Nothobranchius furzeri: one gene and its partners. The protein of the gene in region 1 purifies or fractionates together with the protein of each later gene. This does not show direct contact. Links are inferred from orthologs where the notes say so. Each region holds a gene or a part of one and is shown in the gene's direction. Other genes may lie near its edges. The genes, in order: stx6, vti1a, snap29, vamp3, napab, stx12 and vamp8.

Region 1 (3,823 bases):
ACTGGACAACCAATGAGCTGAGGAACAGCTTGCGATCCATTGAGTGGGATCTGGAGGACCTTGACGAGACCATCAATATCCTTCCCCTTTGAATTGGTCTCATAACTTTTATTGGTCCCAACAGGAAGCTAGTCAGTAACCATAGTAACCATTCGCTCCATCAACACAAAATCAGAATATAGCTAAAGAAAGGAACTAACAACATGGTCACATGAATAGGGTTGTCATGTGACCACATGGTGGTCATTTAGGTGTTTTACTGAAACAAAAATAAAACATTTTCTAACTACATGTGAACGCATCGTGGTGTCCAACCCTAAGAAGTTCCACCTAGATGCAGCAGAGCTAATGAGGAGGAGGGCCTTCATCACCAGTACAAGGCTCTCGGTCAAGGTAAGTCCAAAACCAGAGCTGGTCCAGGGTTGGGGTTCTGGGCCTAAAGTCAAATGGTCTCCTTGTTTTGCAGGACATGAAAGAGCAGATGTTGAGCCCAGCTGCTAACCCAAACCCAAACCCGGCTGACAGACAGAACAAACAGGTAGCTGTTTACTCTCAACTCCTCTTATTGCACTTGTGCCCATGAGTCAGATGATTCACAGGATGAAGATGATGATGATTGGGGAGCTTTTCTCTATGTTTTGACTTTTCCTGTTGAGGTTCTGCTCAGGGAGTGTGGAGCCCAGGGCCCCATCCGGCAGTCTAGTTCTGATAAGTATGGCCGATTGGACCATCAGCTGCAGAACGCCAACTCTCAGTTCATTGAGGAGCAGCAGGTGCAGCAGCAGGTAGGAGAAAACCTGAACAGCACCAAGACCCAGTCTTTGGATAGAACAAGTTTCACAGCAGTCTGTGTTTTCCAGCTGATTGCAGAACAGCAGGATGAACAACTGGAACTGGTGTCCGGAACCATCGGGGTACTGAGGAACATGTCAGAGCGAATTGGCATGGAGCTGGATGAGCAGACTGTGTAAGAATCCAAACACTATCTTGGTTGGACCAGCAGTACTGGTTTCCAGAGATCTTTCAGATCCATGCATTCATTTCTATGTGTGTATTAAAGCTGGGAGGTAAATCAATTTTATTGATTAATTTGAATTTTCCATTTGTGAAGATCTAATTTAGGAAAATATGGATTTTTCCCTCTGTTGGGCTCCCGTAGTTCAAAGTACAGTCAGCCTGGATGTCTCTTATATCGCCTACAAGACAGTGACTAAATCGGTTCGAATGAATGTTTTTCTACTAAAACAGGCCGTAGTGTTCCAATTTTAGCAGAAATGGTAAATGACTTGCATTTGTATGACGCTTTCTAGAGTTTTACAACGCCCAAGGCACTTTACAGCAAATCCAGTCGTTCCTGCACGCACATTCACACACTGGTGGTGATGAGCTACACTGTAGCGACACTTCCAGAACACATCAAGCATAGCAGTTCAAATCAAGGCAGCCAGGAAGTCAAACACAAAAGCTGTTTAAAATGTCCAGAAACTTTCAAAATAAAAGTCATGCACATTTCCAGTTGCTCAACTAGTATAATTCTACATGGTTACCTTCGTATCCGAAGTTTCTTCTTCCGGCTCTAGGAGGGTGCAGACGCTTTTCTTCTCCTCTCCTCCATATCTTATCCTCAAGGCCTTTGTCTGTCTGTGTGTGCTGGGTGCACGGCTGCTTCTGCATTTTTTCTGGAAACTGGAAACTGAAATTCACTAAAATGGATCTCGTCAGTTGGTCTCTCCACGCGGTTGCTAAAACTTTTTCAACGATGAGAACGGGGAAAGGGGCTCCCGGATGCCCCTCCGGGACAGACCAGCTGTCTGTGGAGGACTCTGAAGACGTGTGGATATTCGTGGTGTTGGTGTCGGGTTTCCTGCTGGTCGGCATTGGAGGCTACCTGGCTTACCGGAAAATTAATGAGCTGTCGAGGAATATTGGCCGGATCCCGGAGCTCAGAGATGGTTTGTACCGCGCTGTGAATTCACAGACTCAAATAATTGTCAAGATGAATTGTAAGCTTGGGACTTTGGCCGACATTCATTCTTTGGCTCAAAAGATGGATGATATCAAGGAGAGAGTGGACGAATCAGCATGGATTGGGATAGATTAATGTCCATTATTGGGATTTTGAGAGGTTGAGGACCATCAAACTTTAAGACAGAGAGGAAATTATCTCTGTCTGGCCCCAAAACAATTTCTAATCGGAATCTGGCATCCTTGAGCCTGCAAGGCTACAACAAAAACTCCCCCCTCAGAAGATAAGTGGAATGTGCCGTCGCTATGGCAACTCAACACAGTGGGAAGGCCGCTGAATTGTTCCAGGGTCACTCCAACCCTCAATGCTCCTCCCCCTATCCACACTGAGGTGACATGTGCTGCTTCTATCGTGGCTGCAGGAGTTGGAGTGGGGATAGTCCCAACCCACCACCCCACCTAGTAGACACTTATGTTGTGTTGTCTGAAGTCTGTTGCATATCTGTTTTTTTTTTCTTCTTCTTCTTCTGGCACTCACAGGGAGCAGTCGCTTCTGCCTTTTCCTCCCTTATCTGTATTTTCCCCAAGGCTCTTTTTGTCCCGTCTGCCTACAGAGCGCTTCTCTGCATTTCCTCTGCAATCACCATTTTTCAGCATGGACTTAATTAATTGGTCATTCAACGCGATTGATAAGATTTTTTCTACAATGGGGACGGAGGAGGGGGCTCGCGCCTGTCCTCAGGGGACACATGCAGCGGGATATATGTTCGATTCCTGGAAGAAGTGGAATATCATCTGTCTCTCTCAGCTGTCCATTGAGGACGTCGAAGATATGTGGATATTTGGCCTGATGATCGTTGGATTTCTTCTGATAGGAGTGGGAGGATATCTGGCTTTCCGTAAAATTGGGATGACGGGAGCGATTGGAGGGCGACCCGCAACCATGGACAGCACCGTCCGTGTGGATACCTCACAGACTGGGACGTTGCTCGAGGTGAATCGCAAGCTGGACAATGTCTTAGCTGCGTTACCGGTGTTAGCGCGCAGGATTGATAACATCTCGGAAAGGGTCACCGGACGGTGTGGAGATGTTTAATCACTGAATTGGCTTCACTGGAGGACTTGAATGATCAATACAGACTTAAGGCAGAGAGGGAAAATTATCTCGTCCTGACCCAAACAAAGTTCTGTTATTGAATCTGACGCCAAAAGCAGCCTTGGAGTTGCGTGCAAAAACCCCCACAATGGAAGGAATGCAGACAAATGCTGTGAAACTCTATCCACCCCCCACCCCCCCGCCTTCAGATTGTGGTCTCTACCGAGGTCATTAAGCTAAAGGACTCACTGCTCTCTGTGCTTCCCCATGACCTCCCTCCCACCTGCGGAGCCAGCTGGTTGAGCGCCACAGGCAGCCCCCGCTGAGGAAACCAGGGTCCCAGCCCCTCCCCCCTACCTACCGGGTCTCATGTTGTGAACTGTGACGTTCGTGCTTACATGTCAGGTGTTTTTTTTTTGCATTAGAGTGCTGCACCCTGCTGGTGTAACCCTGTTAATGCCTTTTTTCTCCCTCCCCTGAACTTTCCTCATGTATTCCCTCATTCTTCTACAAAGGAGCGCCGTCATGGCTGCTCCCATGGTCTGCCTGTATCTGTCCTGTCTATATGTGTGTGTGTAACCTTGGTCAGGTTGTACTATGGAGTCAAGTTCCTATGCTCTGATCTGGAGCACTGGCAATAAAATTCATTCTGATTCTGATTGTGTTGTGTTGACCGGACAGTTCCCGTATTTGACCGTTTATTTTGACGGAGAAAGAATAGAAAGAATTACCCCGACGCATGCAGATGAACTGACACTTTAT
Region 2 (4,621 bases), on another chromosome or scaffold:
TTTCGACAGTGATGGGATCTGGGGGCTTTGTGCCCTTGGCACACTCGGCAGTACTGCAGATACTGGGCTTCCTGCTGATTCTCCTGTTCAAAAATGAAACTGTTAAGTCAGATACCAGACTTGCTATACTTCAGGACACACTGTGCAAAAGTTGCTCAAACGTTTATGTAAAAGTCACTAATAAAAACGAGTAAATCTTACTGGTTTCCAGCCCAGAGGAATGTATCCAGGTCCAACAAACATAGCATTAAAGTAGTTGTAGAGAATGAGCACAGTCCAGTTGATGAGCATGATGAAGTTAATGCTTCCTCCTGTGGTGTCTAGCGGCCAGTACCAAATGATGGAGTCTATTATTGCCATGGTTGAGCAAATAGCTATGACAGACAAAGCTATGATTGGACCCCAGTGGCACAATCTTCGAACCTCATGAAGGTTCTCGAATGTCACAATGGTTGACAGGAAATTCATTTTCTCACATGAAGATTAGTTCAGTTTTCTACTTTTCTGAGATGTATTGACCCACGTTGGATGTGCTACGCGCTTCCTCTGCTACCTTGTGCTGTTAACGGTGCACACAATGCACATAATTCATCTCTTCTACCGAGTACCCAGCAAGCGTCCTGGCCTTGAGTAACTTGGGCTCCCTGTGTCCCATTAATCCATGACCCGGTGAAGACCAGCATCGTCTCCTGCCAACACCCGAAGCACACTATCCTCGTGAGAAACTAAAGTTCCCCATCTGTTAGACAGAAATAAAATAATAATTAAAAAAAAAAACATTAACATAGTTGTTTAAAGTGCAAGTGTGTAAATGTAAAGTACTTTGGAGGCAAGCATGCATATAAGAATTATTCTTCCCCGGAAAAATAAAAAAATCAGCTTAGACTTGAGAGATGCAGCATCCTTCAGTAGATCATATCTTGTTTGATTCATAATTTATGCAGAATTTCTCTCATTTTCTATCGTAGCAAATCTTTTCCTCTTCTGTTGATGGTAATACTGTCACTAAACATGAGGAACTTTTCTTTTCCACTTTACTAAATGCAACAAGTATCTATCTGGTTTTAAATTAAACAAAATAAAATATTTAAATGAGTATCCAACCTCACACCATTAGCACCTGCACATTGACTATTAATTAGCTTCTGTTACCAAGCTAGCTAATTTGACACAGTGATATAAACATGGCGACTCTTTAGTCAGCATTTCTGTCAGCTAGTATAACTCGACCAATCAGGATCGGATATATTTTGTAGATGTGTGATTATCAGAGTGCCTACTCGGTTAATAAATATATAAAAATAGATATTCGGTCTTTGGATCTAGTGGCAGCAGTTAGCGAACTAACGTTAGTTAGCCAGCTTGCCAACACGACTAACCTCTAAAGCATTATTGTTACCCTAAAACGCAAAGATGACACGCGGATATGAAGCTATTATTAATATTATTAAAGATAAGTGTTTGATTTAAATTTGTGAGAGGCGAAAAAACTGTCACTTTAAATTACCAACCTAGTCACTTCCTTGTCTTTTGCCGTAGATTTTCTCCGGTGGACGAACTAGGAACCTTTCTCGCCGTGCTTCAGAAGCCAAAATCCCTAAACTATTACAGATACGTTTAAATGCAAACAATTAAATTGTCAATTTTTAAAAAATAATATTACGAAAAACTCGAATGGAGAGGTAAACGCATTCGGCACGTATCGAACTAGTACTATCAAACAAATCCTCTAGTTTCTCGTCGAGCTGTTTTCAGTGCAACTACAGGAAGAGACTCCATTCGGGGATTGTTGTTATTATTCTGAGGTAACCGACAGTCAGATAGCTAATACTCATTTTAAACTCGTTCGACAGAATGTCTTCTGACTTCGAAGCCTACGAACAGGACTTTGGAACAGTCACCGCAGAAATAACTAACAAAATCGGCAAAATTCCTAAACTAAGTGGAGGTAAGACAGTTGAACTTACTATTATTAATCGGTGAGATGCTAGCTAGCATTAGCCATCAAGTCTCAGCTGAGAGGGGTAGCTAATGGTAGCAGGAGATGTGATGCATTTGCAATACATTCCCAACGTTACGCAATTATTGAGTTCTAGATATTTATACGACACCGTGGACATCACTGGCAGATTGTGAGTTTGTAGTTTAGCATGTGATAATTTAGCTCTCAAGTATTTTTTCTGGTTTAACGTTTGTTCCAAGTTGTTCTGTAATCCAGCAAAATAATTCAAACTGAGTATACACGTGTCAGGAATTTATACTTGATATAAGCATAACATCTTGGCAGCTGGCTGATTTTATTGCATGAAGATTTACTTTATTTTGAAGAGTTTGTTGTTGTGTTCAGTCAGACTTCTGTCAGTAGTGGTTCACAGAAAGATAGTTAAACTCCTCTTAAACACGACAGACAGGGAGTCAGCTTTACAGAACGTTTCAAATATGCTTTTGGTCTAAGGAGCTTTGAAAGAAAAGCGTCTGGACTTCTTTGAGTTGCTTGAAGATGTTTCACCTCTCATCCGAGAGGCTTCTTCAGTTCTAAGGTCAAATGGTGGAGAGTCCCAGATTCAAACCCAGTGGGAGTTTCCCCCGAAGAGGGAACAAAAGACCCCCTGATGATCTTCTACATAAACACATGAGCCCAGGTGTGAGGGTGGGTGTGGGTCAGTGTTGCCAGATCCAAAATCCCACAATATTGTACAGAGAGGCCTAAATTATCGTTTTTCAGTACAAATTATCGTACATTATAAATTTGATAATAACGTTCTATAAACGACTTCTCATTCCAATATAATATGACAAAGAAGGTGTTTTATATAACCTTACAGTTTCTCGCGAGAGTAGGCCCTATCGATGTGATTGGGCTATTTATTGTACAGATCCAGAGTCAGTTTTTGTAATAGACAAACAGCCAGAGTTTCGGGTGAGCTCATTGTGAAGCCTGGCCCCACCCTATCATGTGAATTCCTGAGGTCAGATGGCCCAGGATATGCGTGGGCATTGAGGCATCTGGGAAGAGATCTCAGAACTGGATTATAGATGGCAGACAGTTGGTGTCGTAAACCACTGCCTCTGTTCAAAGATGGTTGCTCACAGTGGACATAAATGGCTTCCTTTACTCCTCTTTCAAACCATCTGTCCTCTCTGTCCAAAATGTGAACGTTGGCATCCTCGAAAGAGTGACCTTTGTCCTTTAGATGCAAATGAACTGCTGAGTCCTGTCCCGTGGAGGTGGCTCTTCTATGTTGTGCCATGCGCTTGTGAAGTGGCTGTTTGGTTTCTCTGATGTAGAGGTCTGGGCATTCCTCGCTGCACTGTACAGCATACACCACATTGTTCAGTTTGTGTTTAGGAGTTTTGTCTTTCGGGTGAACCAGTTTCTGTCTGAGTGTGTTGCTGGGTCTGAAGTACACCGGTATGTTGTTTTTGGAGAAAACCCTCCTGAGTTTCTCTGATACACCGGCTACATAGGGGTTGACAAGGTTGTTGCGTCTGTCTTTCTTATCCTCCCTCGCTGGTGTCTGGTCTTCTTTTCTGTGCATCTTTGCTGACTTTATCAATGCCCAATTAGGATAGCCACATGTTTTAAGTGATTCCTTTATATGTGTGTGTTCCTTCTTTTTCCCTTCCGGCTTAGAGGGAACATGTTCTGCCTGGTGGTGTAGGGTCTTGATTACTCCAAGTTTGTGTTCCAGAGGGTGATGTGAGTTGAAGAGGAGGTACTGGTCCGTGTGTGTGGGCTTCCGCTACACTTCAATGTTGAGGTTGCCATTTTCTTCAAAGTGCACAGGAAAGGCAAGCAGTTGTCCTTTATGTTTTCCCTGGTGAACTTGATATTTTTGTCCACGGCGTTGATGTGCGTAGTGAAGGATTCCACTTCTTGTGTTTTGATTTTGACCCAGGTGTCATCCGCATATCTGTACCAGTGGCTGGGTGCTCTCCCTTTAAAAGAGATTTGCTACAGACAAAAACATGGCTGCGCCATGGGCTCCCCCGTGTCACCTATTGTAGCCAACCTTTACTTGGAGGAAGTGGAAAGAAAGGCTCTTGGCTCTACTGGACCAGCTGGATGCAACATCACCAGTGCAACGTACCATGGCAATGTTTCCGGCTTCAGAGACGACCATGTTTCTTTCAATTATATAGGTTTTTTAATCTCTACAATATATTTACAGCTCTACTGTGTTACAATGTTATTAAGAGGCATAAAAACAATGTTTTAAGTAAATTTGTTTTACAAATTTGCCTTTCCTGCTTTATCATTGCCTCATTATACCTACAATGTTGCACAGCCTTTCAGTGTAGAGTTAGCATGTTCTCATGCATGTGTGGGTAGGTACTGCACTTTCCTCCCACGGATCAAAATCGTGCAGGTTAAGTAGAGGCTAAATTATCCCTACGGGTGAGTGTGTGACTGTGTGTCCCTGTGATGGACTGGGTACCTGTCCAGAGTTTTCCTTGCCTCTCATCTGATGACTTCATTAGTTAGACACCATCTCCATGACTCTACTGAGGAAAAGAGATTTAAATAAGTGTGTTTTTATTATTTGGTTTCATTTACATTTATTGAAGTTATCCACAGTTGTTTGAGTAGGAAAATAAAGATGAAACTGTCAAATTCTGT
Region 3 (4,600 bases), on another chromosome or scaffold:
AGATTAAGATGAACGAAATATCCACCGCCTCTACTAAAAAAGGTCACTGCCTGGATCTACTCAGGAAATATGTAAGAGCATCCCATCGGTCACATGAAATAAGGTAAAAAGCTTCAGTCTATGGGGGAGTAAAAAATTGGAACCTAAAAGTATGAGATGTGATCAATTCAGGTTGTGATGGCAATGATGGGCGCATCGGGGTTAATAAGAGTGACTAATAAAGAGAAGCGCATATATAAGCTTGTGGGAACATCATTGTTTGATCTGTCTAGTAGGTGCAATTATGTTATACGACCACGAAAGAGAAGGAAAAAAGGTAATCTGGTCATTTCAAAACAATGAAATTTTTCAATCTAATTACACTTTCCTTCACTAACTGAACTTGCACATTGCATTATTAAAATACCAGTATTTAAAGTTATTATATAGTATTTAAACGTTTTACGAGATCTGGGAGCAAATAAACACTGGGGTTTTGCGGAAGTTTGTGGTAATTATGCCATAAAATGCATCACTAAGTTAAAACCTAAAGATGACATTAAAGGTTTGTGGCTTTTCCAAATAAACTTTATATCTAAAAGTCAATAATATGTCACAAGGGTTCTGCTATTTCTTTATAGTATCAGTCTCAAATGTTGCAGTGTTTCTTGTTTTACGACACCTGCATGATCCAATATTTACCTGTCTTATAACTGAAATTTTACAACAATGTAACTGAAATTATTTCTGATTTTTGTAAAAAAAAAAAACATTTGTACTGTATTCAACCCGTTATTAATACACATGAATTTTCCATGTTTTATTACCTGTTTGATATTCTAGCTAAAACTCTAAATACACAATAGATAATGGAGTGCGTGGATAGTTGGTTCAACAAAATCAATCAAATCGACTCTCGTGCGAGCTTCTCTTAAGTGGTGAAGTAAATCTTCTTCATTCTCCACCCTGTAGTTTGAACAGGTTAGTATCCACAACCAGCTGAGCACTTTCCCCCCTCATCTGTAAACCTGTTTGACCGCAGCGAGGCTGGCTACTCCGCCTGAGTGATGCAGTAGCAGGAACCACACAAGCGCAGCAACAGCCCGTTTATCTTCTGATACGGGAGAGGGAAACATTAATTCCCGTACTGGTGACTTCTAAATGCAAACATAAACGGAACTGTCAAACGTTAATCTTGTCTGTAATCAAAATAAGGCACCGCCTGGGCGTGCGGAAGCGGAGCAACACCCTAAACACCAGTGGTCATTACTGTTCCGACCTAAGCTAATTTTATGCTAATTTTTGTCAAGAGAAAATTACTCTGGATTTTTCCTCACCTTGTCGACGGGGGCAGGACGATGAGCAGCAAGTGAGCGGGCCAGCGATAGAACTGTGTTGAAATAAAACCCTCTCGTACTGCCTCCCATTAAAGACATGTTTACGATTCCATCAAGCCAGCGTTATGATTCAACAATAAGAGGAAACGGCAGAGCAGCGGCAACTAGCGTTAGGATACCGCAGTACGGACGGAAGCCCAACACGGACAATTCCATGTTGCGCCATTCAATATATTGAAGCTATTTACTTTTTTTTATTTAACCAAGTAAGCTAAGTTAAACATATCCCATCCGAATTTTTTATATTTTAAATTTTTATTTATATTATTTTATACACGAGGAGTACTTTTATACTTTTTGTTGCGCACGGCACACCACTACGTCATCCAACGTGACACAGTGCTCATCTGTAGCACTGAGTTATCGACAGTCAGAAGGTGAGTGTCGTTTTAATTATCATTTTTAGGGTGTCGTTTGGCACATGCTATTTCATAGCTGAAAAGGTGTTTACAGTCAAACTACACCGCGGCTTTGTCTCTCGGGTGTGGCTGTTTGACGTGTGGGTCGGCTAGTTCTGCTAGCAGTATCTTCTCGAACATGCTAGCCAACACCTATTAAATAACAACACAGAACAACAAATATTATTGTCTTTAGGTTGTATAATACCGGTGCCATACAGCAGTGAACTGCTTGGAGCCACCCATCATTTAAAACATGTTTTCTTCTGTGAAGACTGAAACTTGTTGAAAGTAGAAAAGAGTTCTTTTCAAAATACAGCTAAACTTTTTTCAGATTAATGTGTCAACTTATCTGTTGATGCTAATGGTAAGTTGTCGTTATGTTGTAGGGACTGTAATACGTTACAAGCTACTTTTTTTATATTATTATCTATCTTGGCAGGTGTTCTCACGTGTATTTTTAGAAAAGTAACTTATGAGGACTTATTTGGATTTTAATCACTTCTTTTATGACTTATTTCAGTTTCTCACAACATGATATTATTTCACTTTCTTAATGTCAAAAGCTTTGCTTAGTGGTTTTTATACAGCAGATGAGCACACTTAATCCTGTTGACATATATTTAAGACTTTAGATAATATTATTTTGTCAACACTGTGCGTTTAACTTTCAGATGGCCTACCCAAAATCTCACAATCCATTTGCTGATGACGAGGAGGAGGAAGGATTTAAGCCTAAAAATAGGGATTTTGATGGTGAAGCTGATGACAGCGGGCTGTCTGACGCTGAGAGGAGGCAGAGGTATCTCCGACAGGAAGTAATGCGCACAGCACAGTCTGCTGTGGATAGCAGCCATCGTTCCCTTGGTCTCATTTATGAATCTGAGAAGATGGGTGTGGAAACTGCAGAGGTATAAGTCCATCCATCTATCCATGCATTCTTCATCCATTTTTTGCTCATTTATTTTAATGTTCTTCTTTCTCTTTTGGCTTTTGCCTTCAATGGTCCCTATGGTGAATTGTCTGTCGTCATTCAGTCCTTTCCTATCTGCATTCTCTACCCTCACATTAACTTCACATCCTCTTTCACCGCATCCATAAATATCCTTCCTCGGTTGCTCATTTATTTTTATGTGTATATGTGTTTAGGAGTTGGTGCGACAAGGTGAAGCTCTGAAGAGGGCTGACAAGATGTTGGAGGGTATGGATCAGGACCTGAAAACCAGCCAAAAGCATATTAACTCTATCAAGAGTGTGTGGGGAGGTCTTGTCAATTACTTCAAGGGTAAGCCAGATGCAAAGCCAACCCCTGAAGAGCCAAAAGCCTACGAGACCAATGAACGGTACGTTTCAGTCACTCCTGTGCTGCTGTCATATCAATACCATTTTCTTATTTGTTGCAGGTCCAACACTTTAGACTTTTTACTGCTTTTGCTATTGTCATTTTTACAAATATTCAATAACTTTTATTTTAAAGTTGAATGCAAATCAAGTTCTAAAGCTTAATGGAATAGAAGTTATAAAATATTACAGCATTTAAAGAATCATAATTATTAGGATTAAAAGTTGAAATCTGACTTCATACTAATACAACTGATTCATTTACTAGACCTTCTAAGCTACAACGCTACAAAATGTTAGAAATGTATAATGGTAAATGGCCTGTATTTGATATAGCGCCACCTAGAGTCCTATAACCCCCCAAGGCGCTTTACATCACAGTCATTCACCCAGTCACACCCTGGTGGGGATGAGCTACGATGTAGCCACAGCTGCCCTGGGGCGCACTGACAGAGGCAAGTCTGGCGAGCGAGCACTGGCACCACCGGTCCATTTGACCACCATCAGCAGGCAAGGGGGGTAAAGTGTCTTGCCCAAGGACACAACGACAGCGACAAACTGAGCGGGGCTCGAAGCTGCAACCTTCTAATTACGGGGCGAGCACTGAGCTCCTGTGCCACCAACACCTCATAGTATCAGTAGTTGACCTAAAGTTACTGTTTTATTTCTAAAGTATCCCTGAATTTACAAACCAAGCACTGCTGGAGGATTTTCAGAGGTTACTACAGGTGAGGTGTAGCTCCTCCCTCACCTCTAGCACATGTACTAAGGTGCTTCATGTGTTTAATGAAAGTAGCCCCAAACGTTATTTATCATAGAATCCAGAACATGATCATTATCTGGAAATTTCAGTTCATTTCTTGTTTTGAATTGTACTTTTTGTCTCAGATTACAGAAGGCCATGTCCAGCAGCAGAGAACATGAAGATAAATACCAAGCGAGCCACCCCAATCTAAGAAAACTGGAGACAGGAGGTGGGCGTTGGCACATGAACCTGGGTATGTTTTAATCATCCCATGAACCAGCCGTCATCATTTCTCCTTCCTGTGTTCCAGGTTTTGGAGCAGCTTCATCCTTGGATTCTGGCTCATCCGGACAGAATGGATACCCACAGAACAGCTACCTCAAGGAGGCTCACCACACCCTTGATAAAAATTTGGGTAAAAATAATTCATTTCTGTTATATTATACTGAACCTTGACTAAATTGTGCAATTTTCTAATCACATGATGAGAAATACCAAAGTTAATGTTAAAAATAAAAGTAGAATGTCTTTTAACTTTAGTTGCGATTCTTGGAGACATGATGCAAAACTCACCATTTGCATTCTTTTGTGCTGCCATGTGGGTCTATAATGCCCAGGGGCGTGGCCAGGGAGTGGCCTGGGGTAGCAAATGCCACCGTTGGAATCTGATTGGCCACCCCAGGTGCCACCACACAGAATTCCCTTTAAATAGGCTTTTCATTGTCCACAAAAGACTTGGG
Region 4 (3,823 bases), on another chromosome or scaffold:
ACAGACCAGCACGGAGGAGAGACTGCTACCACCAAAACAGCTCTCCTCATGTCTGAAAGAAGCTCCTTAATGAAGGGAGAAGCGCTCCCGGTGATTTTCTACATCTGCGATAGAGACGGAGCAGCGCACATCTGACCCCGGAAGTTGTTGTCCGTTGCCGGGAGACGAAGGGGCAAAACAGGAAAATAATCTAGTAGTGGACGGACATTGTTCCGGGTCTTCGGTATTTGGCGGAGATGTTAGTGAAGGCAGAGAAGAGGGCGAACTAGAGGAAAAACAGGCAGATTCCTCCTCTATTTACAAACTCCTGGGGATGCAACAAGTGGGCGCGGTGCGTCGACTTCCGGATCTGACGTCGACAAATTTTTAGAATCGAGCCGTCGACTTCGTCGAGGCTTCGCTACAGCCCTAACACACACCAAAGAGACCCAGGTCGCTGTCCTGTAATAGTGATCAATTTTAATAAATTACAAAATAATCTGTTTATTTGTTTTCTAGTTTCAAAGCTGCTAACCATAATTTAAACGTTTCAAAGAAACACAAGAAAATCATACAGTAGTTATCACGGTTGCCATTGTGTGTTTCCAGTTTAGCTCATACCAGGGTGCTTTAGTGAGGGTGAAACCGATCCACTCTAAAAAGTAGCCAATTAATAATAAAAATGTTGCTCACAGCTTAATGTTATTTGGTGTATTTATGGGAAATATCATGTTTCTCACTTCATCAGGTCAAACGTCGGCCCAGAAGGAAGCAACAAGCGCCTGCAGCAAACTCAGGCCCAGGTGGATGAAGTAAGTTAAAGTTTAGCTTGAATTAAAAAAATCCTAACTTGAGGATTTATTACCAGAAAAATATATTAGTACTTTTGTGGAAATGCTACTTTTAAATTATGTTTTAACTCTGCTTTCTAGATGTGGCTTATTTGCTTCTTTAACACTCTGAAGGCATTTTTATTGATATCGTTATCAACCAGCTCGTACACACACCCCTCGCTTCTGTCTGGTGCTGAAACTTACATAACACATGGCGACGCCACCACAGTTCTCCTCTTCAGTTTAAAGATTCATAACTGTGTCGATGAGGACATTGGTTAAAAACACTGCCAAGTCTCTACCCATAATCCCAGTTTCCCGTCTTTCTCTCTTTGGCTTTCCCCTTGAGGTCCACCCCTCCTCTACAGAACTTTAACCTAAGCGTGTCACACACTCTCCAATTGGTTGTCAGATGGTTATGTAATCGCCGTCTCAGTGGTTATGTAAGGCCTGTATGGGCTTACACACTCCTCCACTACTCAGAGGGGAGGGGCAGTAGTGAGGTTTGTGGATCAGTGGAACATATGGGCGTGTCTACCCAGTGACACTGTGGATACACACACGTTTACCTGCCCCATTGTGAATTCTGTTAGTGAAATAAAGTCTGTATGTGATTCATGTTTTCAGGATGTGTATGTTGGGGTTGGGTAACGCTACACTTGCTTATTTCCTGAAGCTTGTCTCTGCAGAAGCATTAACTGTTGTTTCGTTTGAACAGGTAGTGGATATTATGCGCGTTAATGTCGACAAAGTGCTGGAACGGGATCAGAAGCTGTCCGACCTGGATGACAGAGCAGATGCTCTGCAGGCCGGGGCCTCCCAGTTTGAGACCAGTGCTGCTAAACTGAAAAGAAAGTACTGGTGGAAGAACTGCAAGGTAAAATGGACTGTATTTGATATAGCGCCTTCTAGAGTCCTGGAACCCCCCAAGGCGCTTTACAACACTATCAGTCATTCACCCATTCACACACACATTCACACACCGGTGGGGATGAGCTACAATGTAGCCACAGCTGCCCTGGGGCGCACTGATGGATGCGAGCAGGGTCCGAAATTAACACTCGCCACTCGCCAAATGCGAGTAAATTGCTCCATTTGGCGAGTAAATTTTTGAGCTCTACCTGCCACCTGGCGAGTAAATGTTTGCACCAAATTACAGGTGCTGGCCAGTAAATTAGAATATCATCAAAAGGTTGAAAATATTTCAGTAATTCCATTCAAAACGTGAAACTTGTACATTATATTCATGCAATGCACACAGACCAATGTATTTCCAATGTTCATTACATTTAAATTTGATATTCATAAGTGACAACTAATGAAAACTCCAAATTTGGTATCTCAAAAAATTAGAATATTCTGAAAAGGCTGAATATAGAAGACACCTGCTGCCACTCTAATCAGCTGATTTACTCAAAACACCTGCAAAGGCCTTTAAAAGGTCCCTCAGTCTTGTTTTGAAGGCACCACAATCATGGGGAAGACTTCTGACTTAACAGCTGTCCAAAAGACAATCATTGACACCTTGCACAAGGAGGGCAAGACACAAAAGGTGATTGCTAAAGAAGCTGGCTGTTCGCAGAGCTCTGTGTCCAAGCACATTAACAGACAGGCGAAGGGACGGAAAAAATGTGGTAGAAAAAAGTGTACAAGCTCTAGGGATAACCGCACCCTGCAGAGAATTGTGACGACAAACCCATTCAAAAATGTGGGGGAGATCCACAAAGAGTGGACTGCATCTGGAGTCAGCGCTTCAAGAACCACCACGAGGAGACTCATGAAAGACATGGGATTCAGGTGTCGCATTCCATGTGTCAAGCCACTCTTGAACAAGAAACAGCGCAAGAAGCGTCTCGCCTGGGCCAAGGACAAAAAGGACTGGACTGATGCTGAGTGGTCCAAAGTTATGTTTTCTGATGAAAGCAAGTTCTGCATTTCCTTTGGAAATCAAGGACCCAGAGTCTGGAGGAAGAGCGGAGAAGCACAGAATCCACGTTGCATGAGGTCCAGTGTAAAGTTTCCACCGTCAGTGATGGTGTGGGGTGCCATGTCATCTGCCGGTGTTGGCCCACTCTGTTTCCTGAGGTCCAGGGTCAATGCAGCCGTCTACCAGGAAGTTTTAGAGCACTTCATGCTTCCTGCTGCTGACCAACTTTATGGGGATGCAGACTTCACCTTTCAACAGGACTTGGCACCTGCACACAGTGCCAAAACCACCAGCACCTGGTTCAAGGACCATGGTATCCCTGTCCTTGATTGGCCAGCAAACTCGCCTGACCTTAACCCCATAGAAAATCTATGGGGTATTGTGAAGCGGAGGATGCAATACGCTAGACCCAACAATGCAGAGGAGCTGAAGACGACTATCAGAGCAACCTGGGCTCTCATAACACCTGAGCAGTGCCACAGACTGATCGAGTCCATGCCACGCCGCATTACTGCAGTTATTGAGGCAAAAGGAGCCCCGACTAAGTATTGAGTGCTATACATGCACATTCTTTTCATGTTCATTCTTTTCAGTTGGCCAACATTAGAGAAACAAACATTTTTTCATTGCCCTTTAGAATATTCTAATTTTCTGAGATACCAGATTTGATGTTTTCATTGGTTGTCACCTATAAATATCAAAATTAAACGTAATAAACATCGGAAATACATTGGTCTGTGTGCATTGCATGAATATAATGTACAAGTTTCACGTTTTGAATGGAATTACTGAAATATTTTCAACCTTTTGATGATATTCTAATTTACTGGCCAGCACCTGTAGTTATGTTTATCAGTCATCTTCCACGGATTTCTGATACTCCTCCCGCCTGCATGCAACTTACACAAACGTACGCGAAACGTGAACGCCGCATCCAACGTCATTTCCACCTATCCCATTGAATCAGTTTATCAAGTTAGCCGTTAGCTTCATGTTAAAACTAGCGGTGAAATGTGGCAGTTTTTAACTGGAGTCAGCCAGCCTTCCAAAAGAAAACTCGTCGAACTGGAAGAAAAACAGCCAG
Region 5 (4,418 bases), on another chromosome or scaffold:
GCAGTGCGGTTCGTGTCTGCTGAACAGTTAGCAGATATCGCAGCTTTGTAGCGGATATTGGGATTAATGGAGAAATTGTTACATTGTAACAAACTCACCCGAGACGTTAGAGGTGCAGGCAGCGCGGGGTCTCCAGGACAGCCTCGCACGGGCTGCTCAACAGGACCCAACTACTGGCAGGAAACGGCAGACTTCCGCTCTGCCTGATTGAAATCCATGTTGTTTATCGAGACTTTCTTTACACACAAATACCCATTCGGAACATTAAACGGTTTTTGAACATTTTTGTTGTGTTAATTAGTGCATTCTTAAATTTGACATATTCTTCATGTTAACTTGTTTTCATTTTTAAAACTCAAAAAACATCAATAGAAAGGCAGGAACAGCAGAGGAAGCCTGTGGGGAGAAATTGCTTAAAATGAAATCATAAAAGAAACTGGATCACAAATGTAAAAAAATATAAAAGCAGTCATGTTAACAAATGCCAGCAGATTTGTTAGATAAATGCAACCCAGTCTTGAACTGCAATCAGATTATATGATTTTGGCTAAGAAAAGAACAAACTAATCTACAAAAAGCCTAAGCAAAATACTGTAACATAATCTACAAGAAAACATTCCTTTTCCATATTTTAAATAATTTTTGTATAGTTCTAAAATACGTGATTATTTTTGTAAATTTTAAAAAGGTATTTGAATGTTTGACTCATGTAGTTACCTACCACAACCCATAGCCCTAAAATATGTTTGTCATGTATTTTTCAACAAAATATTTTACACACATTTAATTCACTGTGCTATAATGCAAAGCCTGGAAAACCACTTAACATAGTTGTTATCTATTATTTATGTTAAAATTGTAAAGATTTCAGCTGACAAACAGTTTCATTATGATGCTAACCCATTTTGATTAAAAATGTCTCTTTATAATGGAACTGGCATTGACTAAAGGAAAGCATTTTCTTATTATAATTCTAATCAATATTCCTTTAAAACTGCACTTTTGAAGATATTTACGCTATTACGTTTTATTACAACATTTATGCTTAAATATTGTCACCTTTAATGTCTGATTGCTTATAGAAAAATAATTGGCTGTTGAAAACAGATAACACAAGGGAACTGTTTTATATAGATTGTCATGAACGCACTGTAATGATCCTGAGACAGATTAGAAGCGATTCCTTTGTTTCTACAGCAAATATTAACAACGAACATGTTTCTTAATTAAATTATCGATTGATATATTGTGTTGCAGCATGGTCTACAATCAGTTTATAACATGAAACATTATAGATTTGTAATGGACCAACTCTGGACCGTACGAGCAGCACCTGAAGGCAGCAGGGCTGTGACCGCCCTCCCATTGTCACGTGACAGAGAAAGCGCTGGCTGCTGATGTGACACTGCTGTTAGCAATACTTAGCAACTTTGTTGACTTTAGTATTTTTTCGCCCCCCTTTAGATTCAGAAAAACAAGTAAAGCAGAATGGATAACAGTGGGAAAGAAAAAGAAGCTACAGCTTTAATGGCGGAGGCGGAGAAGAAAGTTAAATCATCTCAGTCGTTTTTCGGGTCGCTGTTTGGGTGAGTTTTAGTTAGCTGATGTTTAGCTTCTGCTTTCAAGCTGAGGGCCAGCTATGCGGAAGGTGACCACCTAACACCAGGGCTGATGGCTGGGCACAACAGGACTGGAGCTGCTGTTAAGATGTTGTGGTATTGAGAGTATTTGTCTACGGACGTAAGGTTATTTCCCCGGATTTCTGCTGACCATAACGTCTGCAAACAACAAAGACTAACACGTAGCCGTTTATCCCAGTAAACTGAGAAAAATTACACTGAACAAACCGTTGTTTGACATGGACGATAACAGAATACTAAATTCGTTTTTATTTAAGTATGACTGTAAAAAAATATTTTTTTAAAAAGTGTGATCACATTAGCTCTGCTGTAGCACCATCTGCTGGCTGTTCCGTATTGTGCAAATCGTCACAATGTTTACAGTAGAAACCTCAAAGTTGTATCAAATCTAATGAAAATTATTTATTGATATTTGCCTTTTGCCATAAAAATGTTGGTGCGGAAATATTGTCATTATTGGACAACAATCTCAACAGATGAAATACTATCTACTATTTTTATTTTGAAAAGTAATTACTTATTATCCAGTCTTGTTTATTGCATTTACACGATCCTAACCTGCTAATAACCAGTATCTTATAGTTGTTGTTTTTTTACACGTTTTTTCTTTCACACAGGAGCTCCTCCAAGCTGGAAGAGGCCTGTGATCTGTATGTGAGGGCAGCCAACATGTACAAAATGGCCAAAAACTGGTGTGGTAAGAGGACAGTTACTTTCCCTTCCTTGTGCATATCTGTTGATATGTTTTATCTTTTAATTTGTGTTTTCTTTTCAGCTGCAGGAAATGCGTTTGCTCAGGCTGCTCATCTTCACCTGCAAATGCAGAGTAAACACGATGCAGCAACTAATCTCATAGATGCTGGAAATGCCTTCAAAAAAGCAGATCCACAAGGTAAGAGGTCACTCAATTTTACATGGAGCTCTTTGTAAAAGGTTTTAAAATCTGGAAGGAAATACATTTTTGGACTTTTTAAAATTAACTTCATATAAAGTGCAGCCAATCTAATTAATACCTGGTTTGGCAGCAAGTTTGATCCCATGACTGTGTACACTTATCTACAGTCTTTAGTTTACCCCATACTAGCTTAGTTCCAAGCATCTTGTGTGTCTGAAATTTAGCTGTCTTCTATAGACTTACCCCTGATCGAGACTCTTTATTTTTAAAACTAAGGGTAGTTTTTATACATGCAGATTTTGAACAACATCAATGCCTGTTTGCAGCAGTTTATTTGTGCCTGTGCAGGTGGCACAACTCAAAACTAAATGTGATATAAGTAAGATGAAACGTCAAAGACAAATACCAGGAATTCTTGAGCAGTCAGAAATGTTAAACTCCTCAACCTGTGCAGAAGTTTCTGGGTAAGCCTGATTCTGATGTTTAGGGTAAATGTTTCCTACAGAAGTGCATTTAAAGACCAAGTTCACTGAGAAACTTTTTTTTACTTATTATTATGTAAATATGATTGGAAGCTCTGAGTTTTGTGTACAGGCTGAACGTGAAAAAAGTCTTCTACCCATATTTCCTGCATTAGTCGCCCATAGAAAATAGATGGGGAAATGTTTGAGTTAGAAAGTACAGTCAGCTCTACATCAAGCTGTGAATTAACATTCATGGACTCGCCCATCTTGGCTCACGACGGGGGAAGGCTGTTGTTGGTTTAGCACCCAGAAAAGAGCAGAGCTAGTAGACACTAACTGTTAGCATGAGCAACTCCACAACATAGCAGAACTCCTTTAGGCTTGTGTTATTTGAGGAGATAACATATCAGTGTTGCAGAACAGTCAGTGGTAGAGTTGTGTTAATGTTAGTCAATCAGAGGTGAGATGTCCGAACATCAGGAATTCTGCTCACTTCTGCTTCCTGAAACAGGAGCATGAGATGTTGTTTCACAAGCCATTCATGCATTCTAGAGATCACTGCAGATGTATTGAGAAAATGAGTGAACTTTGTCTAAAGTCTGTTTTCTGCAGTGGAAAGAAATTTCCTTTTACTTATTTCTTGTCATTCACTGAACTGATGTTTTTCTCTCAACAGAGGCCATAAACTGCCTAAACCGAGCTATTGAAATATACACGGATATGGTGAGGTTTTTAATACAAATCCCCCTCCTAAGCTATTATAGTTTTATTGATTTGTGTTTTTAATTTTGTTTCGTCCTTGCTCCTGTGTAATTTTAGGGTCGTTTCACCATCGCTGCTAAACACCACATCACCATCGCTGAGATTTATGAGACGGAGTTGGTGGACATCGACAAGGTCAGAGACACAGCTGATGGTTATCACGTTGTTTATATTTGATCAAATGTTTACATGGTCATTTGAATTTTTTTTTTTCGGGGGTGGTGGTGTTTCAGGCTGTTGCTCATTATGAACAAGCAGCAGATTATTACAAAGGCGAAGAATCCACCAGGTAAATATTTGACGTAACACATCTGAGCAATACTTCTGTCCACTTTTGGGTTTAAAGGGAGACTAGGCAGTTTTGGCTTGCTTTTAGCACCCCCTAGTGCCCAATTAGTAGAAACAAAAACAAAACCTATCTACTTGCTGTGCGTTTTTCTTTTTAACACCTTGATCTAACAGCTGAAATGTCTCCCCAGCCTTCATTAGTGTCTACAGGACACAAAATTCATCAATAAACTAAACAGTTTAGCTGTGTTCATGATCTAAAACATGCAGGAAGCATGCTAGAACCAGACTGCAGCATCAGGTATGTCGGCTCACCTTTTCCCCCCGGACTGGCACTCTGAAGTTGCAAATGCGGTATTCTGACCACAG
Region 6 (3,823 bases), on another chromosome or scaffold:
CTGATCTAGCCAGACAGTAATAATAATAAAGTTACAGTACATCTATTACTGTGATGTTGCTTTAGTTTTTCTTCAGCCACTGTAAGTTTACTTCATACAGTCTTGTCTTATTTGTCTCTACAGAAGTTGGAAAACTACTGTGTTGTTCTTCTGAGTTTTCATGTTGACATATTTACTGAATACATGATAAGAAAAGCATATTTCCAGTCTGCTGTCATTGGTATGTTTATAGTAAGCTACCTATTTATACCTCGAAGCAATCCTAAAACCCAGCACTCGACTTCTGGACAAAGGGTTTGTAAAGTAACACTAAACAGTTTCTAGCTTCTCCGTCCTACTGGTTCAAAGTGGAATTACAATTGTTGTAAGCAACCCTGCAGCAGGCTGCTGTAGCTAGCGCTAACAACAAGCTAGCACCAACATGAGGCAAGTCTTACTAAGTAAGCCCCAAATTAAAAATGTCCACACTGTTGGACAAAAAATAATATTACTAAAATCCAGTAGCAACAAAGTCAGGTCACCATCAGTCTGTGATTTCGTAGCCTCCTTTAGCTTCCTCCAATGAGTGTAGGCCATGGTGAGGTTCACTCTGGTTTAAGCTCTTTGTTTCACCTCCAAAGACAAAACACTCCAACTATTACCTCCAGGCTCCACCATGGTGCTGACAAAAACAAGCTTTTTTCTTCTTCTTCTTGTGTTCTTCATTGACAGCTGGTGAATTAATTAAGCTAACTGCTAGCTATTTAGCCCTTTTAAGGATCAATGTTTCTCTGTTGTAACATTCTTCCTGTAATAAATTTAATATCATTGATAAGTGTGACTGTTTCCTTGAATGGAGAAACATTTGTAGAACAGTGGAGTGTGTGGGTTGCTTCCATGAAAAACTTCCCAAACCTCCTTGGCAGATTGTGCTGTTGACTCTTGTTTGGGTTTGCTTGTTGGATTGGATGATTGATGTCTGGTTCTGTGGTGTCCAGAGGCAGCAGAAGATCCAGAGGGAGCGGCTCATGAATGACTTCTCAGCCGCTCTCAACAACTTCCAGGCTGTCCAGCGGCGTGCAGCAGAGAAAGAGAGGGAGTCGATAGCCAGAGCGAGGGCTGGATCTCGACTATCGGTAAGGATCAATTATTTGTTATTGACAAGGCAATGGTAATATGTACTGGACTGATCCCAGAATTGGAATCTTTATTTATTTATTTGTTTGTTTATTTATGTATGTATGTTGATTGTGATTAATAAAAGAGCATAAAACAGGAGTTGTTTTCCACTGGAACCTGTGCTAAAATGGAAACTATGGTAGTATTTGAAGTACTCCAAAAACATTTGTGAGAGACAACAGCATACAGCCTTAACACACACACACACACCACCAAAGTAAGAGAATAATAATAATAATAGTAACCCTTTATATATCACAAGGAGACCAAAGTGCTGTACAGGTCAGTCAACAAGAACTTAACCAAACCTAAAATGGCTAAGAAAAGGCGGCTTGGCAGTTTCTGATCAGCTGGAGTAAACAGCCAATTTAAAATGATGGGTCTTGAAACGAGGTTTAAAATCTTCCAACATTCTGGCCTTCCTTATACCAAGAGGATGCGGCTCTGTTGCCCCAGGTTATGAGATGAGATCTGGGATAAACCGGCAGTAAGAGGGAGCAAGGCCATTCAAACATTTAAAAACAAGAATTCAAATCTTCAAATCAACCCTAAAATAAACTGGGAAGCTAGCTCTAACACCCTCTCACATCACCATGGTGGATCTTTGTCCCACTCTTCTCTGCAGGATTGTTTAAATGCTGCCACATTGGAGGGTTTCCCAGCATAAGCTTCCTGTTTAAGGTCAAAGGTCAAATGTTCTGCTTGGGAGCAGAAATCACTTGTTGATGTACTGAGGATGGATCGGCTAACGTGTGTCTTTGTCTTCTCTTTTAGGCAGAAGACAATTTTCGTGATGAGAAGCTTGTTTCGTTTGATAAGTAAGCGATTTCCATCTGGTCTCTCGAGGAACTTTGTAACCAAAGAGTTAAATGTGAATAAAGGATGAGTCGTTATAATTGTTGAGCTTGGAGTCCCTACTGATGGCTACGATGGCTGTGCTTCTCATCACTTAGGGGTTAGTAAAAGTTACAAGACTTTCTTTTATCCTTTGTTTTTGTGAAGCCAAGAGGATTTTGGTCAGCTGACTCAGACAGAGGAGGTCGGTGTCACGGAGGAGGACCTGGAGCTGATCAAGGAGAGAGAGACCAACATCAGACAGCTGGAGGTGAGACGTCACTTCCTGTTACCTCCTGTGACATCACTACCAACTGGAGGACCAGCAGCTGATTTCTGTTGGTTAATTTCAGTCTGACATCATGGATGTGAACCAGATCTTTAAGGACCTGGCTGTGATGATCCACGACCAAGGGGAGATGATTGGTGAGTGGTTCTGTACTGGTTGCAGTATTCTGGATACTGGGTCAGGTGGCCATGTGTGTACTTGTAAAAATTGGTCTTAAAGAAGCTTTGTGATTGGCTACTGGATTTTTTTCCACCTGTAATAAATTCTGTGGTATTTAGTTTATCCACTTCTTTGTTTGGATCAGTATATGTATCCCATCCATCCATTCATTTCCCTCCACTTATCCGGGGTCAGGTCGTGGGGGCAGCAGTCTAAGCAGAGAGGCCCAGACTTCCCTCTCCCCAGCCACTTGGGCCATTTGATATTGTTAAATAATCACCTAAGGATGTACAGGAGGCCATGTTTGTTTTTGTTGGTTGATTGAAGAGTCGTTTTTCGGGTTCACCTAGTGAATCAAACACTTTTATAATGTTGTCTATCCCAGTCTTCCTGGAGTTGATTAAACCTCTTGTTTGGTGTAGATGGAAAAACGTATGGAGAAGGAATTATCTTGAAGGAGTCTGTTAGGACAATTCTGGTAGTAATAAGTGTCAGATAGGCTGATGAGTCTGTCTCTCAGCTGCTGTCTCTGAGGCGTCCACGGCTCCTCCACCAGGGCCAGAGAACCAAAAAGAGCTTCCTCTGCAGGGTGTCTGGGCCCAGCCTCAGAGATCAGACAACCTGCGGAGTGGGACTGCTGTCCATGTCCAGAGCGGCTAACTGGAGCATTTGGCCAAGATCCCTACTGTGGGAAGTGTTTTGGGTATGTCCCATCCAGGTTGACCCATGGTGCACTGGAGGGAATGTATCTCTGACCTGGTCTGGGAACTGCTTTTGTCCCACGGGAGGAGCTGGTGGGAGTGGCAGGGGAAAGGTTGGTCTGTGCTTCCTGCTAGGCCTCCTGACCTTAACCAGAATGAGTATATTTGAAATGTCGCCACCCTTTAGTTCTCACCTCTCTCCTGAGCATCAGGGAGGTCCTCACTCTTGTGTCGCTGTTCACAAAATGTACAGGTTTTCCATGAAAATAGTGACTGAGTCATCAGGGGCAACGGTAGCCATCTGGAACCCTTCTCATGCTCCTGATTTATTCCATTTCCATCCTTCTGTCTGAAGGGGTGGGCAAAAGAAATGACGCCCATGGATTCTATGGCAGCTTTGTCTTGTTCCTGTTAGCTGATCTTGTGTTCTGCTGCAGATAGCATCGAGGCAAATGTGGAGAACGCTGAAGTTCACGTGGAACGAGGAGCAGAGCAGCTGCAGAGGGCAGCTATGTATCAGGTGAGTTCTTCTCTTCCATCTTCTGTCGTTAAAGAACCTCTGTGGTGGAAAAATGCTCTCACCAAGAGGCATGCGGGTGATTAGAATATGGTTTCACTCTTGCAAAGGTGAGAACCCCGAAACAAAGGAGTCAAGCCTGTTTCTGACTTAAGGACCAAGTTC
Region 7 (2,535 bases), on another chromosome or scaffold:
TTGCCAAATCCTTAACCCAAATGTTGCTGCATTCGTATTCTTAATCTGAGACCAGCCAGCAAAAAGCAGCACTGTTGTGGAAATGTTAGCCAGTAACGACCAGGTCCACCATCCAGCTTTTCAGGAGGGGAGAGCTACTCCCCACTACCACGACTGTTTATAGTGGGGATGGTGGGCTGCTGACCTCGACTCAGGGTGTTGTGGATCTGTGGGTGGAGTACTTTGAATACCTCCTCAATCCCACCAGCACGTCTTCCAGTGAGGGTGCTGCTGGTCCTTTGTGCAACAGTCATTTGAGCTTGTGCAATAATGACCTTTTTGCACACTTTTGCAGGAGCGAGGAGGGTTTGAGGATGCAGCGCCAAAGGACAAGGTTCAGGATCTGAAGAACCAAGTGGATGGAGTGAAAGAAATCATGACGCAGAACGTGGATCGGATCCTGGCCCGTGGAGAGAGGCTGGATGACCTCATGGGCAAGTCTGAGGATCTCCAAGCAGGGGTCAGTGTTACCACTGGAGAGTGGGGGTCTTACCTGCTGGTACTGATACCAGTACTGATGGCACCAGTAATGTTGGCTGAGCCGTGGCTGGTTTTGTGAGTTTATTAGTGGTGGTGTTTATCTTGAAACATGTTGTAGATGGTGATGGGCCTTATTTTCAAATGACTGGCTTTTATTTATATATAAAGTAAACTTTTTTTAAATATATTTTGAACGACCAATATTTTTGGATGTGCTGTGTTTGACTGTTGATGCTCCGTGTTTTTATTTGTGCATCGAGCCTTAAAACCTCACCTCTTACCGCCCAGAGTTTCTTCTTTAAAACTCATATTAAATAACGAGCTTCCTCCACACCGTGTTTCATCAACTGTCCCAGGGCAGCAGTTCAGCAGACTTGTTTGTTTACATTTTTGCCGCTGCGTGCCTGCACAGTGTGAGAGACGGGAGGGAGGGGCGACGCTCTGTTCAGCATCTCTACGGGCTCCACAGCAGCAGCGGCAGCCAGCTGGTTTGATCCGCTCTGAAAGGCGTTGATCAGGATTTGCAGATCACATTTTTTTAACGGAGATCAGGCGCATGCAGGCATCATGCGTCACTCAATACAGCGTCCATGTGGAAACTTGCCTAGGAACCTTTATCTGCTGCTCTTAATCATGCAAATTTATATAGATTATCGGGGAAAAAAGTTGATTTGTGGGTGACTTGCTCTTTAAATGTGTTTCAACCATGCCGATGGTTTCAACAGACACACTCGGGCAGAAATGTGTTGCTTTCCCTTCACCTGCAGGTTGTAAATATTCAATATATTCAGCGTAATTAAATGATTAACAAGAAGCAGCAGGAACTTGGAAGCTGTGCGTGTTCCTTTTTAACAGGATCTTGTTTTTGCTGTCCAAACCTGCAGCTTCGACCTAAAACCTGGACCATCTCACACCTGTGTGTCTCTGATCTCCTCCTCAGGCTCAGACCTTCAAACAGTCGGCTGGTAAAGTAGCTCGTGCCTACTGGTGGAAAAATGTCAAGCTGATCGTGGTCATCGTGGTGATTGTCGTCATCATCATCCTCGTCATCGTCCTTCTGGCCACTGGAGTGATTCCTACCAGTTCATCCGTGGGTCCGATCACCCCCACCACCAAGCCCTGAACTCGTGTCCGTAGTGACTCCATGAGAGCAGAAACACGTCGCTGTTGTAAACTCAGTAATATATCAACTCTATGAAAAATCACTTTGGTTTGGTGAATATTTAATATTTCCTCCGGTTACTTTCATGCTTTTGTGTAACGCACTGTAATGACACATAAGCTTGTGAAAATCATAAAAATACTTTGAATGACCGAGTCTTCTGAACAAAGTTCTCTGACTTCACTGTTTTTTTCCATTTGAACACCAGATTTCATTCTGTCCCTAACTGTTTCTGCTCCATCGTGACAAAGAAGGAGTTTGTAGATAAAGAACGAACTCCTTCAGTCTCGTGTGTGACGTCATCCAAGGTGGCAACGGTGAAGCTAGCGCTAACTGGGCCAGTGGTATTAGGAGAGGCTGGAGCTTGGGATGAACTCTGTTCCCTTGCCAGTAGTTGTGTTCGACATGCAGCGTGTAGGAGCCTCGGCTCTTTGTGCTACAGCAGCAGGCGGGGAGGTGAAACGGTTTCTAACACAACAGTAGGTTACTTACCCACATTTTAGGTTTTTTTAAGTGTGTTTGTTTCTTTGTTACTTAACGTTTAGCTGCTACTCTTCTGCTGTTTAATGTTCAGGGTCTTCCAGCCTACCAGCTGCAGAAGATTATTTATTCCCCTTCAGACCGCCCTCTGCTGGGCTTCTCTTAACCAGTAACCAGCTGGAACTGGGATTTCTAGTTTATGGGTCTTTCATTTTTATTTATTGTAGAATGTCTTGTTTCCACTTCCTCGTCTGTGTGCTGTTACAGTACCAGTAAAACCTGAAAGAGGTCAAAAAGCTTCTTCTCATAAATTACACCCACACGTGTATTAGCTTCGGTCATTAGCTGTAATGAAGGTTTCTTTAGAAATTAAG

The links.
Region 2: the proteins of stx6 (region 1) and vti1a purify together in Homo sapiens (affinity purification with mass spectrometry; 3 studies listed by BioGRID and IntAct, counting the BioPlex papers as one, with this or other methods). This does not show direct contact. The link is inferred for Nothobranchius furzeri from reciprocal best matches to the Homo sapiens genes STX6 and VTI1A.
Region 3: the proteins of stx6 (region 1) and snap29 purify together in Homo sapiens (co-immunoprecipitation; 3 studies listed by BioGRID and IntAct, counting the BioPlex papers as one, with this or other methods). This does not show direct contact. The link is inferred for Nothobranchius furzeri from reciprocal best matches to the Homo sapiens genes STX6 and SNAP29.
Region 4: the proteins of stx6 (region 1) and vamp3 purify together in Homo sapiens (affinity purification with mass spectrometry; 5 studies listed by BioGRID and IntAct, counting the BioPlex papers as one, with this or other methods). This does not show direct contact. The link is inferred for Nothobranchius furzeri from reciprocal best matches to the Homo sapiens genes STX6 and VAMP3.
Region 5: the proteins of stx6 (region 1) and napab purify together in Homo sapiens (affinity purification with mass spectrometry; 3 studies listed by BioGRID and IntAct, counting the BioPlex papers as one, with this or other methods). This does not show direct contact. The link is inferred for Nothobranchius furzeri from reciprocal best matches to the Homo sapiens genes STX6 and NAPA.
Region 6: the proteins of stx6 (region 1) and stx12 purify together in Homo sapiens (affinity purification with mass spectrometry; 4 studies listed by BioGRID and IntAct, counting the BioPlex papers as one, with this or other methods). This does not show direct contact. The link is inferred for Nothobranchius furzeri from reciprocal best matches to the Homo sapiens genes STX6 and STX12.
Region 7: the proteins of stx6 (region 1) and vamp8 purify together in Homo sapiens (affinity purification with mass spectrometry; 3 studies listed by BioGRID and IntAct, counting the BioPlex papers as one, with this or other methods). This does not show direct contact. The link is inferred for Nothobranchius furzeri from reciprocal best matches to the Homo sapiens genes STX6 and VAMP8.

What each region holds. Positions count from the first base shown.
Region 1 is NC_091748.1:80,943,828-80,947,650, reverse strand, and holds part of stx6 (syntaxin-6), read left to right. Parts: coding exon 1-75; intron 76-298; coding exon 299-393; intron 394-466; coding exon 467-538; intron 539-641; coding exon 642-785; intron 786-860; coding exon 861-967; intron 968-3,823. UniProt on the Homo sapiens protein: SNARE promoting movement of transport vesicles to target membranes. Targets endosomes to the trans-Golgi network, and may therefore function in retrograde trafficking.
Region 2 is NC_091756.1:39,753,585-39,758,205, reverse strand, and holds the start of vti1a (vesicle transport through interaction with t-SNAREs homolog 1A), read left to right. Parts: upstream 1-1,694; 5' UTR 1,695-1,854; coding exon 1,855-1,948; intron 1,949-4,621. Other genes in the region: palmitoyltransferase ZDHHC6, read right to left, coding at 1-83, 202-468. UniProt on the Homo sapiens protein: V-SNARE that mediates vesicle transport pathways through interactions with t-SNAREs on the target membrane. These interactions are proposed to mediate aspects of the specificity of vesicle trafficking and to promote fusion of the lipid bilayers.
Region 3 is NC_091757.1:55,818,772-55,823,371, reverse strand, and holds the start of snap29 (synaptosomal-associated protein 29), read left to right. Parts: upstream 1-1,496; 5' UTR 1,497-1,753; intron 1,754-2,448; coding exon 2,449-2,685; intron 2,686-2,923; coding exon 2,924-3,117; intron 3,118-4,003; coding exon 4,004-4,089; intron 4,090-4,170; coding exon 4,171-4,275; intron 4,276-4,600. Other genes in the region: pi4kab (phosphatidylinositol 4-kinase, catalytic, alpha b), read right to left, coding at 1,317-1,415. UniProt on the Homo sapiens protein: SNAREs, soluble N-ethylmaleimide-sensitive factor-attachment protein receptors, are essential proteins for fusion of cellular membranes.
Region 4 is NC_091743.1:51,782,885-51,786,707, forward strand, and holds part of vamp3 (vesicle-associated membrane protein 3), read left to right. Parts: intron 1-727; coding exon 728-791; intron 792-1,016; exon of another isoform or gene 1,017-1,174; intron 1,175-1,530; coding exon 1,531-1,689; intron 1,690-3,823. UniProt on the Homo sapiens protein: SNARE involved in vesicular transport from the late endosomes to the trans-Golgi network.
Region 5 is NC_091753.1:46,790,531-46,794,948, forward strand, and holds the start of napab (N-ethylmaleimide-sensitive factor attachment protein, alpha b), read left to right. Parts: upstream 1-1,363; 5' UTR 1,364-1,488; coding exon 1,489-1,586; intron 1,587-2,257; coding exon 2,258-2,532; intron 2,533-3,675; coding exon 3,676-3,722; intron 3,723-3,818; coding exon 3,819-3,896; intron 3,897-3,994; coding exon 3,995-4,050; intron 4,051-4,418. UniProt on the Homo sapiens protein: Required for vesicular transport between the endoplasmic reticulum and the Golgi apparatus. Together with GNA12 promotes CDH5 localization to plasma membrane.
Region 6 is NC_091751.1:25,520,309-25,524,131, reverse strand, and holds part of stx12 (syntaxin-12), read left to right. Parts: intron 1-977; coding exon 978-1,115; intron 1,116-1,932; coding exon 1,933-1,976; intron 1,977-2,160; coding exon 2,161-2,263; intron 2,264-2,345; coding exon 2,346-2,418; intron 2,419-3,578; coding exon 3,579-3,661; intron 3,662-3,823. UniProt on the Homo sapiens protein: SNARE promoting fusion of transport vesicles with target membranes. Together with SNARE STX6, promotes movement of vesicles from endosomes to the cell membrane, and may therefore function in the endocytic recycling pathway.
Region 7 is NC_091757.1:27,723,705-27,726,239, forward strand, and holds the end of vamp8 (vesicle-associated membrane protein 8), read left to right. Parts: intron 1-334; coding exon 335-499; intron 500-1,459; coding exon 1,460-1,642; 3' UTR 1,643-1,850; downstream 1,851-2,535. UniProt on the Homo sapiens protein: SNAREs, soluble N-ethylmaleimide-sensitive factor-attachment protein receptors, are essential proteins for fusion of cellular membranes.